3 linked regions of the Drosophila melanogaster genome follow. The protein of the gene in region 1 interacts with the protein of each later gene in a pairwise test. Each region holds a gene or a part of one and is shown on either strand. Other genes may lie near its edges. The genes, in order: CG17377, teq and sol.

Evidence for each region.
Region 2: the proteins of CG17377 (region 1) and teq interact in a two-hybrid assay, tested with the Drosophila melanogaster proteins (one large-scale study listed by BioGRID).
Region 3: the proteins of CG17377 (region 1) and sol interact in a two-hybrid assay, tested with the Drosophila melanogaster proteins (one large-scale study listed by BioGRID).

The regions. Positions count from the first base shown.
Region 1 is NT_033779.5:6,800,843-6,804,546, reverse strand, and holds CG17377 (uncharacterized protein), read left to right. Parts: upstream 1-1,757; 5' UTR 1,758-1,839; intron 1,840-1,892; 5' UTR 1,893-1,909; coding exon 1,910-1,936; intron 1,937-1,999; coding exon 2,000-2,596; 3' UTR 2,597-2,694; coding exon of another isoform or gene 2,695-2,696; 3' UTR 2,697-2,839; exon of another isoform or gene 2,840-2,841; intron 2,842-2,896; coding exon of another isoform or gene 2,897-2,907; 3' UTR 2,908-3,169; downstream 3,170-3,704. Other genes in the region: Daao2 (D-amino acid oxidase 2), read right to left, coding at 289-601, 659-955, 1,025-1,237, 1,293-1,495.
Region 2 is NT_037436.4:9,072,995-9,076,747, reverse strand, and holds the start of teq (tequila), read right to left. Parts: upstream 2,106-3,753; 5' UTR 1,970-2,105; coding exon 1,919-1,969; intron 1,685-1,918; coding exon 1,126-1,684; intron 1,077-1,125; coding exon of another isoform or gene 882-1,076; intron 729-881; coding exon of another isoform or gene 483-728; intron 430-482; coding exon of another isoform or gene 1-429. Other genes in the region: CG4942 (uncharacterized protein), read right to left, coding at 2,429-3,019, 3,077-3,541.
Region 3 is NC_004354.4:21,348,536-21,352,288, forward strand, and holds the start of sol (small optic lobes), read left to right. Parts: upstream 1-1,744; 5' UTR 1,745-2,073; coding exon 2,074-2,315; intron 2,316-3,099; exon of another isoform or gene 3,100-3,226; coding exon of another isoform or gene 3,227-3,231; intron 3,232-3,324; coding exon 3,325-3,753. Other genes in the region: peng (penguin), read right to left, coding at 1-169, 771-1,216. UniProt on the Drosophila melanogaster protein: Has a role in eye development. Calcium-regulated non-lysosomal thiol-protease.

The sequences.
Region 1 (3,704 bases):
GGTGGAATAGTGGAATGTTTCCAAGCAGTCGGTGATAAGCCTATCAATACGATCCCCATGCCATGGCGATAGTGCTGCCTACACAGGCAAAAATATGCTTGCATTGACCCAATCAAAACGTAGTACAGCATTCAATTCAATTTTATAACATTTTCCATATAGAAATTGCTAAGTGTAATGAAATATATTAAAATGTTTATTATGTAGATAAAGAGATGCTTTTAAATGCTGTTACCTTTACACTACCAATTTTGTTATAGAACTAAAATAATAATCTTTCCAACTGACTTATAATTTGGAACCGTTCTTGGCGGCCAACAGGATATTGAGGACATCGTCGGCACAGCCCCAGCACAAAGTGACTCCACTGCCGCCATGTCCATAGTTGTGGATGAGGAGCTTGCGGCCGCGGCGCTCGGCTTCCAGTCGGAGTTGGGTGCGACCCGGCCGGAGACCTACCCAATCAAAGAGGCACTCCGTGTGCTCCAAACCAGGAATGTACCGCTGACAGCCATCGACGATCATCCGCCTGTCGTTCTGGCAGACTTTAGTGTTGTAGTCCCGCTCCTGATGGGTTCCGCCCAGGACAACACTTTCGGTGCTTAAATATTTCAGATATTGGAATACGAACAAATAAGTGTAACTGGCAAATACTCACTTGGGTATAATATAGTTGCCATCATCACTCTCGTCCAGCACGGCAGAGAAAATCCAGTTGGCCCTCACCCGGGAAACTTGGCCACGCACTGCGTACATTTGATCGTCGTTTAGTAGGGTCTTAGAGCCCAATCCGGAGCAATTGACTATCACATCGTACTCGGAATCGGCTACAAATGCATCCAGGTCTGTAATCCTTTTCCGGACAACAACACCTCCATTTCGGGTGAAACGCTTCATCAAATACGGCAGTAGCTTAATGGGCTCCGAGGTGTAGGTAACAAAGGATAAACCAGACCTAGATATGGTTTAGATATGTTCATATTTCAGCAAGTATAAATCTATGGATATCTATGAATATTCTTACGTGAACTTAACGCTGCGACCTTTATTGTAGGCAGCCAGCTGTTCCTTGGACAGATCCACTGCTCCATAGACAATGTCACGCCAAAAATCTTCGACCGTGTCCACCGTTGAGGTGCTCAGCCGAATGCAGGGTAGCAGACAAACGCCAGCCTCTCCGGCATCCTCGCTCAGCCAGATCTTCTCCAAAAATTGGTGCATGCTCTTCGACCACTTGCTGATGGAAAAAAAGTTATAAGTAAGAATATAATATAGTGACTAGTAAAACTTACTAGACTTTCGCCTGCGAAGTGCCGCCCAGAAGGTACGGACCCCAGAGACCAGCCGAACCATCTCCAGTTGTGTTAGGCGTGAAGTCCTCCGATATGATCGTCACCTTTATGGGTGTCTTTCCATCGTTCACATAGTGTTCCAGTATCTTAATGGCACTGGCAACACCATTAACCCCGGCACCGATAACTGCAATGTTAGGCATTGCTCCAATCCGATCAGCTTGGGAACTTGGAATGAACTGAAAAGAGGATCGCTTATCAGAATTGTAAGCAAATCGCATAATACAATTAGCTGATAACAGAGCTTTTAAAAAGAGCGAAAAAGCTTTTTGCATTTTGAATCTAATATTAACTCTTTCTTAAAATCTAGTAGGCTATAATTCCAACAAGTTGGCCTTGCATTTCATCTCAAACGGAACCGAATATGTGTGTTGGGATGTGTTGATCATTCCTCATTCGATACCAAACTCTCGGACCTTTCGTTTCGGCCAGCTTCTAAATTTTCCAAATTCCAAATTTTTCTTCCAAATTAATTTGACCAAATAGAGTAAGTTTATCCCGGGAAGACCATAGTATATTTTTAAATCCTTTGTCCTGTAGCGCTCGACGGGCTCAAGATGTGTGACGGATGTGGATCGTTGGAGGTGAGTAACCATATGCAACACACCACTGACCACTTGTGACCACTATGTATGCATCCTTTCCAGCCGCGCGGATGCCGCAGTCGGGAGTTACGATGCGGCATCATGTACACCACTTGCGACTGCGTGAAGCGGAACGGTCTGCAGGACAAGTGCCCGCGGTCCGCCTGCCAGGGCCGACCGGCCTGCCTGTGCTTCCCCTTCCCCACCTGCGGTCCGGCGGCATTCCCGCTGCGCTACGCTAACATGATGATGGGCGTGAACAATAAGCGTATGCGCTGTGCCGCCACTGGAGCACCAAATGGCGGTGCCGGATGCGGTGGACGCGTTGCCGGCGGCTGCTGTGGATGCGGTCCCTGCTGCTGTAATGTATCGCCCTGCTGTGGCCCGCACAGTCCTCCATGCTGTGGCTCGCACAGTCTTCCATGCTGTGGCCCGCACAGTCCTCCATGCGGAGCTCCGTCGCCCATTCCTTGCTCCTCTGCTCCGGGCATGTGCTGCCCTCCGCTGCCTGAAGGCGGCATTCCCGATCCGCGTGTCTGGAACTACTATAACGCACCTGTGACGTACCCATGTAAGTCCGGTCCAGGTCCGTCCACCTGTCCGCCTGTCTGTCCGTCTGCTTGTCCATCTGTCACGGCGCTGGGCGTCCGTAGAACGTAAAAACCATGGAGCGGAGGAGCACGAGGCATGCCCAAGGACTTTGCAGGTCACAGCATCTGGAACATGTGCTTGTGGTGACGCTTCATGTCCTTTTGCAGGAGCTTTATGCCCACTACGCTGATCCGTCAACAATGATAGCATGTCCTGGGCTTTGTGAGCGTAGAGGTAGGATCCATGGACCAAATGCTGTTGCCAGGCCCCAAATCCTTCATGACCCTTTGACCTCCATCCGCATCCTGTCGCGTGTAAGTAACTGCGATACCTTCTGCATTCACTGGTTTTACCTTTCTCATCCCACAGGTGGCTTATAAGTATTTCCTGGCAAGTGTTTCGATCGGATCCTGATATGGGCCACTTCCTTGGCGGGACATGTTGTCGTTTTGTGACGTAGTTTTGGTTGATAAAAAATTGAAGTTGGCTTAAATCAAGATTTAGCCAGCTGCGGAATACCCATTACTAGAAGGGCTCGAAGCTATTTGGGAACCCATGTGCAATTCGTCAGACGGTCTTGATTTAAACACAAAATCATATGTTGGTATCTGGAATCTATTTGGCATTAAATTACAAATAAACAAATTGAAATTATATTCTGTGTATTATGGGGGGTGTTAAAGGTTGCGTTTATTTTATGGCTGCACTTATGCTTCGAATATTTATATTTTAAGCCTGGCATTAGAATTGTAAATTAAGGTTGAAACCTTATGCCAAGGCCATAAAAATTTACGTTCATATGTCCCACAGATATTCTGATATTTATATTAATTAATATCAATTTTATTAGGGTGGGTTTCCGTGGCATTTAAGATTTAATTAATTAAAAGTTGAACTTTGCTGATAGTACTTTGTTTTAAACCCATTTTTTCGAGCTGGGAGAGCCATGTTCCAATCTTAGTGAGTTAGTTGACCTAAACAATTCGCGGGTCAAATATTTTGTTTTAGTGAATAAGGCAAATATAGATATATAATTATGTAGATCTGTGGCGATTTCATAATCTTTGCTAAGTCGAAGTAGGCCATGAAATTTCATAAAGTTGGCCATGACTTTTAAGCCAACCCGAACCGAAACTTGAACTGGATGTGCTGGGCCAAGGGAACAGCTAACCTCATT
Region 2 (3,753 bases), on another chromosome or scaffold:
AGAGAAGGCTACGAGGCACACATTGACGCTGGGAGAGGCTGTAAAGCTGTCCAGTGGGACAGCATATGATCTCTAATGCTCCATATTGGCACCTGACATAGTGGCCAGCATGGAATGGATAAGGGTAATTCTTCTGGACATTGGGTGGACACGATCTAAGTGAAGACAGCTGGCTTTGAACATTTCCCCGTAAGTCTTGAGAAGTATAAGTGGTCTGAACTTGGACTTCCTGCCAGAACTGCACCCGATCAGATATGTGCACTTGATGACTTGGAAGACAACTTCTTTGGGATACACTGAATGCCATCTGGGGGCCACAACTTAGGATGGACATTCTGCCACCAGACGAGCACTGAACGTACTTTTTAGCATCGTAGGGATACAAGAAGATGCCGTTGATGTTACCAGGACAGGCATTAAGGATAAGTGCTAGTAAAATATTATCATAAATTCTAGTGTACAGTGATGATAAAGTAACTTACAATACTCATAGCTGATTTCGGAGATAATTAATGTGACATAGTCGGTAAAGGCTAATTGTGCTTTTAACTGACAGTAGCGCCTCGATATGCTAAACACATAATTAGGTTGGCAGTTTTGCACAGCCGATTTACCATCCTTACAACTAAGGAATTTTGTTTGATCAAAGGGATGAACAAATTGGCCAACGGCTCCCACTGGACACAAGAGATAGTTGACCTGAATCTCAGCCGACGTGAAGGAGGAAGCTGTTACAATTCAAAGGGATCAGGATTAGAGTCTATCAACTAAGCAGGCAAGCAAAGCGTGTACAGCGTAATATGAGAAAATAACCCGAAATGAAAAAGCAGATGAATCAAGCGAGGCCAAGCAGTAGGGATAAGAAATGAAATGACACTTACAGGAGGTCCGAGGGGAGTCAGAATACACACATACCGAAGAGGAGCCATCGAAGATGTGGCCCCGTGGACACTGTTCCACCTGAGGCTTAACCCCAATTCCGCACCTCAAATACTTGTGCACGTCGTGCGGATGTGGACGAAGCCCACGTGTACCGGGTGGACAGCCCAAGTCATCAAAAGGCAACGCAGGGTAGCCTAACCGAGTGTTAGTCAAGATTTTTGTATTTAAATCACTCATACGTACCGGTGCCGGAGGTATCATCTCGTACTGCTCCAGTTCCCGATCCGCATTTGGCCAAATCCTTGTGCACACATACCAGTGATGCTGGACTAAAAGCAGTTCCTGGTGCGCAGTCCATAATAAAAGCTTGACCATTGGCGCAGTTAAGAAACTTGCTGCAATCCGAAGGATGCGGTTGCAATCCATTCACTCCCGGTTGACACTTGGGTTCACTATCTAATTGCCTAAGTCTTCCCAGTCGAGTAGATGCAGATTCCGCTGAAGGGCAAACCACATTGCTGGGATGATCGCACACCTGGGTCCTGTCATTGAACAGAGTTCCGGGCGAACACGTCTGAATGGTGGGGCTGCCATCGAAGCAGTTCACATAGCGATGACAGTCGTGGGGATATGCAACCAGACCCGTAAAATGCGGCGGGCATGCCGAATCCCGATGGTAAATAGGCTGCTGCTGGTCGCCTCCGTAACTCGAGTGTGCGTTCCCTGTTGCTGATAAGCCAACTGGTTCCGACTGCTCGCTGTGGTAGCCACTGCCTGATCGATAAGCTTTAGCCCCGGGTCGCTGTCAAAAGCGCAATTATGAAATATTATTGAACAACCGTAAGTAATTAGAGGCAAAATTTAGCTAATAGCTTGTAATTAAGTTCAATTAAAATTAAAGTCTTAAGCGCGTTTTAAATTCCTAAACAACATTTTTAGTTTGACTAAAATCTTAAAAAATTGTAAATAATCTAGAATCTAGATGATATCCTTAAAAAACACAATTTGAAATTATTAATAAACTTTCTACACTAACATCCACTAGCAGGATCGCCAGCCAAAGGCCAAGGAGCCACTTGGCCATCATTTTACGTTTCCGCTTTATAAGTATTTGAATTTAAATATTTCTTAAAATGCACCGATGCTGATAGCAACTACACAATTGTTTTTCTCGCGCTTTAAATTCTTCGTTGTGATCCCGTTCGAATTCCAGGCTCGACTGACCCACACCCAGATCGCATTTCAATTCAATTGGACTCGGGATGAATCTCTATCTCTGCCGCCGCTGATAGATGCTCTCGTTTGTCGCCAAACCAATTGAGTGGACCACACTATCAGGGCTTGTAATCTCAAGACCTTTTTGCTGTCTTATCGCCTTGTTTTGTTTGCATTTCTTTTGGGGTTTTTCACTCATTTATTTACTTCTATGAATCTGAGATGTTGGAGCTTAAGAATGATGATGATGAATTACAGTGGCGCAGTCGCATTTAAACAAACTAAACGTCATACCCAAATTAGACTAGGTGATTATGACTAAGAGACTAGATCATTTGGCTGCCGGCTTATCAGCCGGCGCCCTCTCGGCAAGTCTTAGCCTCTGCTGTATTTTTAGCCAGAGCAGATCGTACGGCTCACTGAGTTCCGTTTGTGTTTTGGGAATTCCCACAGATCGTCGCACTTCCGGCGAGAGGATGAGCAGATTTTGAGCAAGGCCAAAACTGCTGGAAGCTACCCAGTATACACATAAAGCTGAAGGCACTGTACAGGCTACTGGAACCATCACAACACTCAATCCACGGAACACATTGTTGGCGATGTTCTGCAAGCGTGTAGAAGGACGAGTTCTAGACATGGCTTGCACTTCAATGATGGCCAAATTGATAAGACCTAATGCTACAGGCAGGATATAAGAGTTATCCACCACCGTAAGGTTTGGTATCCAACCAAATCCGCCAATGGTCATTTCGGTGGTCACGATTTGAGCTTGAATGGACGTGGGATCCGGCAGCATGTACACTAAATTGCGCAGAGCCACGGATTGAAAGATCCACAGGGGAATCTGACCCCATAGCACAATCATGGTCTTCATGGGATGGCAGTTATCCCGAACTATAAGGTTCTGCCACTGCTTCTTGATCTGTAAGATAATTGACATGACGAAGAGTGTCTCGCAAACATTTGAATTTTAACAAACCGAACGCCGATAAACAATCTGAGTCTGCTTTTCGCTCCACTTGAACTTGTGCTTGGCCATGGCTGCCTCTTTTTTCAGTTCCTCCACAATGGCCGGCATCTCCAGCGCTATCTTTTCAATTCTGGCGGTGATTTTGTGCTGGTAAATGGTCAGAGGCAGGGTGACCACGCTCCGAAAAAGGAAAGTGGACAGCACGATGGACGCCCACCAGGGCAGGCCACTGTAGTCGTGGATCTTAATGAGAACATCCTGCATATAGGCCACCGGCGTGCTGTTGGACAAGGTCTGCCAATATCCCACCAATCCACCGGCATTTGCCAGTTGGACACTCGCGGCCGCCGCTTCTGTAGACGACAGACGATGATTGCATGTGTGATTCGCAATAGTTGTTCCTTGGTATGTGTATTTGTAGATGCCAGCAATTGATGAACTTCTACAGGTGCGTAAAAGAAGCAAAGCTGACATTTTTAATTAATATAAAACTAATAATCAACGTAAACAACTATATAGAATCAGCAGTGCGAGTTGTTATCATTGTGAACAGCTGATTGTTACCATAACACGGCTTCAATCAGTGTGGCCGTAGCTAGGCATTGTAGTTGCATTAACCCTTAACTTACGATGCTTTTTTTGCTATCCGAAATTAGGAAACATTGAAATGCAGTTATTAATTTGAA
Region 3 (3,753 bases), on another chromosome or scaffold:
AAGCAGCTTCTCAGAGATCTCGGCCCGCAGAGCTGGCGACGCGTACTTTAGCATGCTCTGGATCACGCGGGCGGTGTCGTGGGCCTTCACCACCTTTGAAATAGTGTCGCCCACGTTGAGCACCTTGTATATCTGCTCCACCAGCTTGTCCTTGTTCTCCGTTCGGCGGCTGCAAGACAAGCACCAAATTATGTTGATATATATATATCAGAGCAATAGGATTTGCGCATTCATTAGTTGTAATTTTACGAAAAAAAAAAAAAACGCGACAGAGGATAGAGCTGGTTTGTTTATGACCAAACAAAACAGCATGCGCTAAATAGGCGTCTTTGGAATCTACGCTCTTGGTTCTAACTCAACATTTATACAGAAATACAAGGCTATATTAACTTAGTTTTGATACTGATCAAAATGCTTAACTAGCTATTATTGTTTCAAGAACATGAATAAAATGTTTGGTGTTTTTGAATTCGAACCAAGTGGCAATGTTCGGTTTTTCCACGAACAGGTGCTTCGTTTTGGGATCCACATGGCCATGTTTATCGATATCTTGTCCTTTAAGGAACCAAAATGACTTATAATTATTAAAACTATATCGTATAGATTGATGCCTTATGAAATTTAAACAACTTTGTACGTTCTGAATGTACATAAGTGCATGAAAGAGCCCGATTTTGTTGAGCTATCATAATTTGTATAGGTAATTTGAGCGCTAAGGATGATAATAACCGATTGTTTGGGCTGTTCATCGTGTTTTTGGGGATGCTCACCATCGCAACTTCTCGTGGATCTGGTTGGCCTCCTTGCTGATCTCGTAGGTGTCCTTGGCACTCTTGCGCTTCAGCTTGAGGTCCTTCTTCTCCTTCTTGAACTTGTTCCAGTCCTGTTTCTCGCCCTCCGCCGGCGCCTGTGGCTGTGTTTGTGGTTTTCCGCGGAACTTGTTGCCACCAAGCCTCTTGTCGCCGGTGGCTCCGGATTTGTCAAACTTCTTGAAGCCACCGGGCCCAGACTTGTCGAACTTCTTGGCACCACCAGCGCCTGGCTTTACAAACGACTTGCCTGCTCCTCCGCCGAATTTGTCGAACTTCCTGGCGCCTCCTGCTCCACCGGGCTTAAACTTCTGTCCGTTGGCGCGCTTGCCGGACGATTCATGGGCCTTGAGGGGCGAGGCCGTGTTGGCCACGTTAGCAGGTCCTTTCGGCTCCGAGCTAACCATCTTTGCTGCGTTTTCTTGGACACTACAACTAAATAACAGCAAATGTTTTTGCCAAAAAAGCGAACTACACGTGCTGCTGATGCAGAGTGACCAGATTGTTGCAGTATACCCAAGCTGTGTAAATACCAAAATCTGGTATTTTCGTTCCACATACAGTAAGTATCAATGAAGTGCTTCTATTTGTTTAAAATTTAACTCAAGTTAATGCGTTCAGTTCAATTTGACTTTCCATTTGAAAGCGGCTAAAAAATAATAATCCATGTCTAAATATTAAATTTAAACTCTTCCTAAACTAAGCTCCTCAATGTTGATTACTTGTTATAGAAGGTCAAATAATTTTATGCATGTATTTGCGTCGTTTTATGAATATATGTATGTATTCATTCCCAAAAACATATTAGAATTGGTCTAAAAATTGAAGGTACCGATTTTTCATTAACGGCACTTGCCAACACTGGCTTTGCGGGGTAGCAGCCGTGTTTCTCGCGCTGGCAACCCTGTCCGGCAGAGTTCACGCACTCGGGCAACCTTGTCGTTGGAGGTGTTCGCGAACGTCGACAACCCTAGCGGCAACAGTTAAAAAATGGTGTGAAACGGCGACGGAGAACGCGGCGTGCAACTGTTGGAAGCCACTGCTTGGTCCTCGTTTTGGTCCCGGGTTCTGGTCCTCCTATTGATCTCCATCTCCGCCCGGCCACCAGCTCGAAAGCGCACCTACACATCATAGTTTCCATAGACAGTCCCAGTTCCACATCCACTCCCCCGCCAGCCAGCCAACAACAACAAAAACAACAACAGCAAGAGAAACAACTCAGAAGTCGAAAGGAATCTGGGAACTCCTGCGACTCCCCCGCGCAATGGGCACCATCTCATCCGTGCTGCAGTGGTCGTGCACCAAATGTAACACTATCAATCCCACGGAGTCGCTCAAGTGCTTCAATTGCGGCACCGTCCGCAAGGTGTTCCCCCAACAACAGCAGCAGCAGCATCGCAGCAGCAGCATCACCGCCTCCTGGACAGCTGATGATGCACTGGAGCAGGAGCAGGCGGAGAAGGGGCAGGAGAGGGACAAGGAGAAGGGCAGGGCGGCGGTTGCCAGGTAAGCGAAGCGGTCGCCACAAAAACAAACAGCCTGTATGCCTCCTCTGCGAGGATGTGCCTGTGTGTGTCTGTGTCTGTATGCGTGTGTGTGTGTGTGTATGTGGGCGCCAGTGGTGGCATCCAATTGGAGGACAAAAGCGCTAGCTAAAATCATGTCGCATATGGTAATGTGTATAGAAATCGGTGGCGTTTTCAAATCCAACTTTTTTCGCACACACATTGTATGCACACTTTGGAAAATATACAAATACACAAATATGTACATACTTTCATCGGTAAAATTCGTCAATCAAAAACCTTAACTTTCAAAGAATAATAATACCAAAAGCTTACCAACGTAAGCTCCTATGCTGAACTTTAATATCCAAAGAGCAGACCGAGTAAATCTTAGTAAATTTTATAGTTCTCACTAACCCTTTTGTGCATAATGAAACTTAAAGAATAAGAAAACAATGAAATCGGTTAGGAAAATCCTGATTAACTATCCATAGGAATAACTCGAATGGGAGTATAGGAATAAGTTGAAAGATTTTTATATTACGAACTTAAGTTTCGAAAGGCTAGGAAAAGGTACAGTGTGTACAAGTACACAGTTCAAAAGTCTAGCTTTAAAAGCCAAGCCGTCGGCACTGGTGATTGTCCCTGAGCGTGTGTGTGTGTGTGTGTGTGTGTGTGCGCGAGTGTGTGTATGTGAGAGCATGTATACACAGCAGAGGCAGAAGCAACAACAAAACAGCCGAGGAGCAGCGAGAATTGGGGAAAATCGATTTGGATAAAGAAGCATTGTTTACAAGTTTATCGATTCGCGAACTCGCTCGGCGATCTGAAGAGCAAAAGAGGTGTAGGAACAACTTCCGAGTCGAGCGGACGAGCGGAGAGTAGGAAAATGGCCAGTCATTGAGATAACCTTTGCGGTCAGGAAGTGGGGAAAGCCCAAACAGCTCAAGAACACCGAATCCCATCCAAACCCGACGAAAAACGAAAAACCCCATTTCCCTATTTTGCAGGAGCGAGTACAAGCATGTGTACAAGTCCCTGCTGCGCGGATGCTTGAAAAGACCACAGCGGAACAGCCAGAATCTGCCCGCCAACTGCGTGGATTGCGAGGACACGCGCAAGTACATCAAGAGCTCTATTGAGCTGTACCGCCACTTCTCGAATCCGGCCCTGAATCGGCGGTGGGTGTGCCACGCCTGCGGCACGGACAACAGCTCGGTCACCTGGCACTGCCTCATCTGCGACACGGTCAGCTATCTGGCGCCCATTTACAAGGACGCCATCGCCGCCGACCGAGGCCAGGATCTGGCTGGCAGCCTGGGCAATCGCGGCGAGCTGCTGGCGGCGGACCATTCACATCCACATCATCATCACCACTACCTCCACCAGGAACTGGAGGAGCAGCATCAGCATCAGTTACATTCCCAGCACTTGCATAA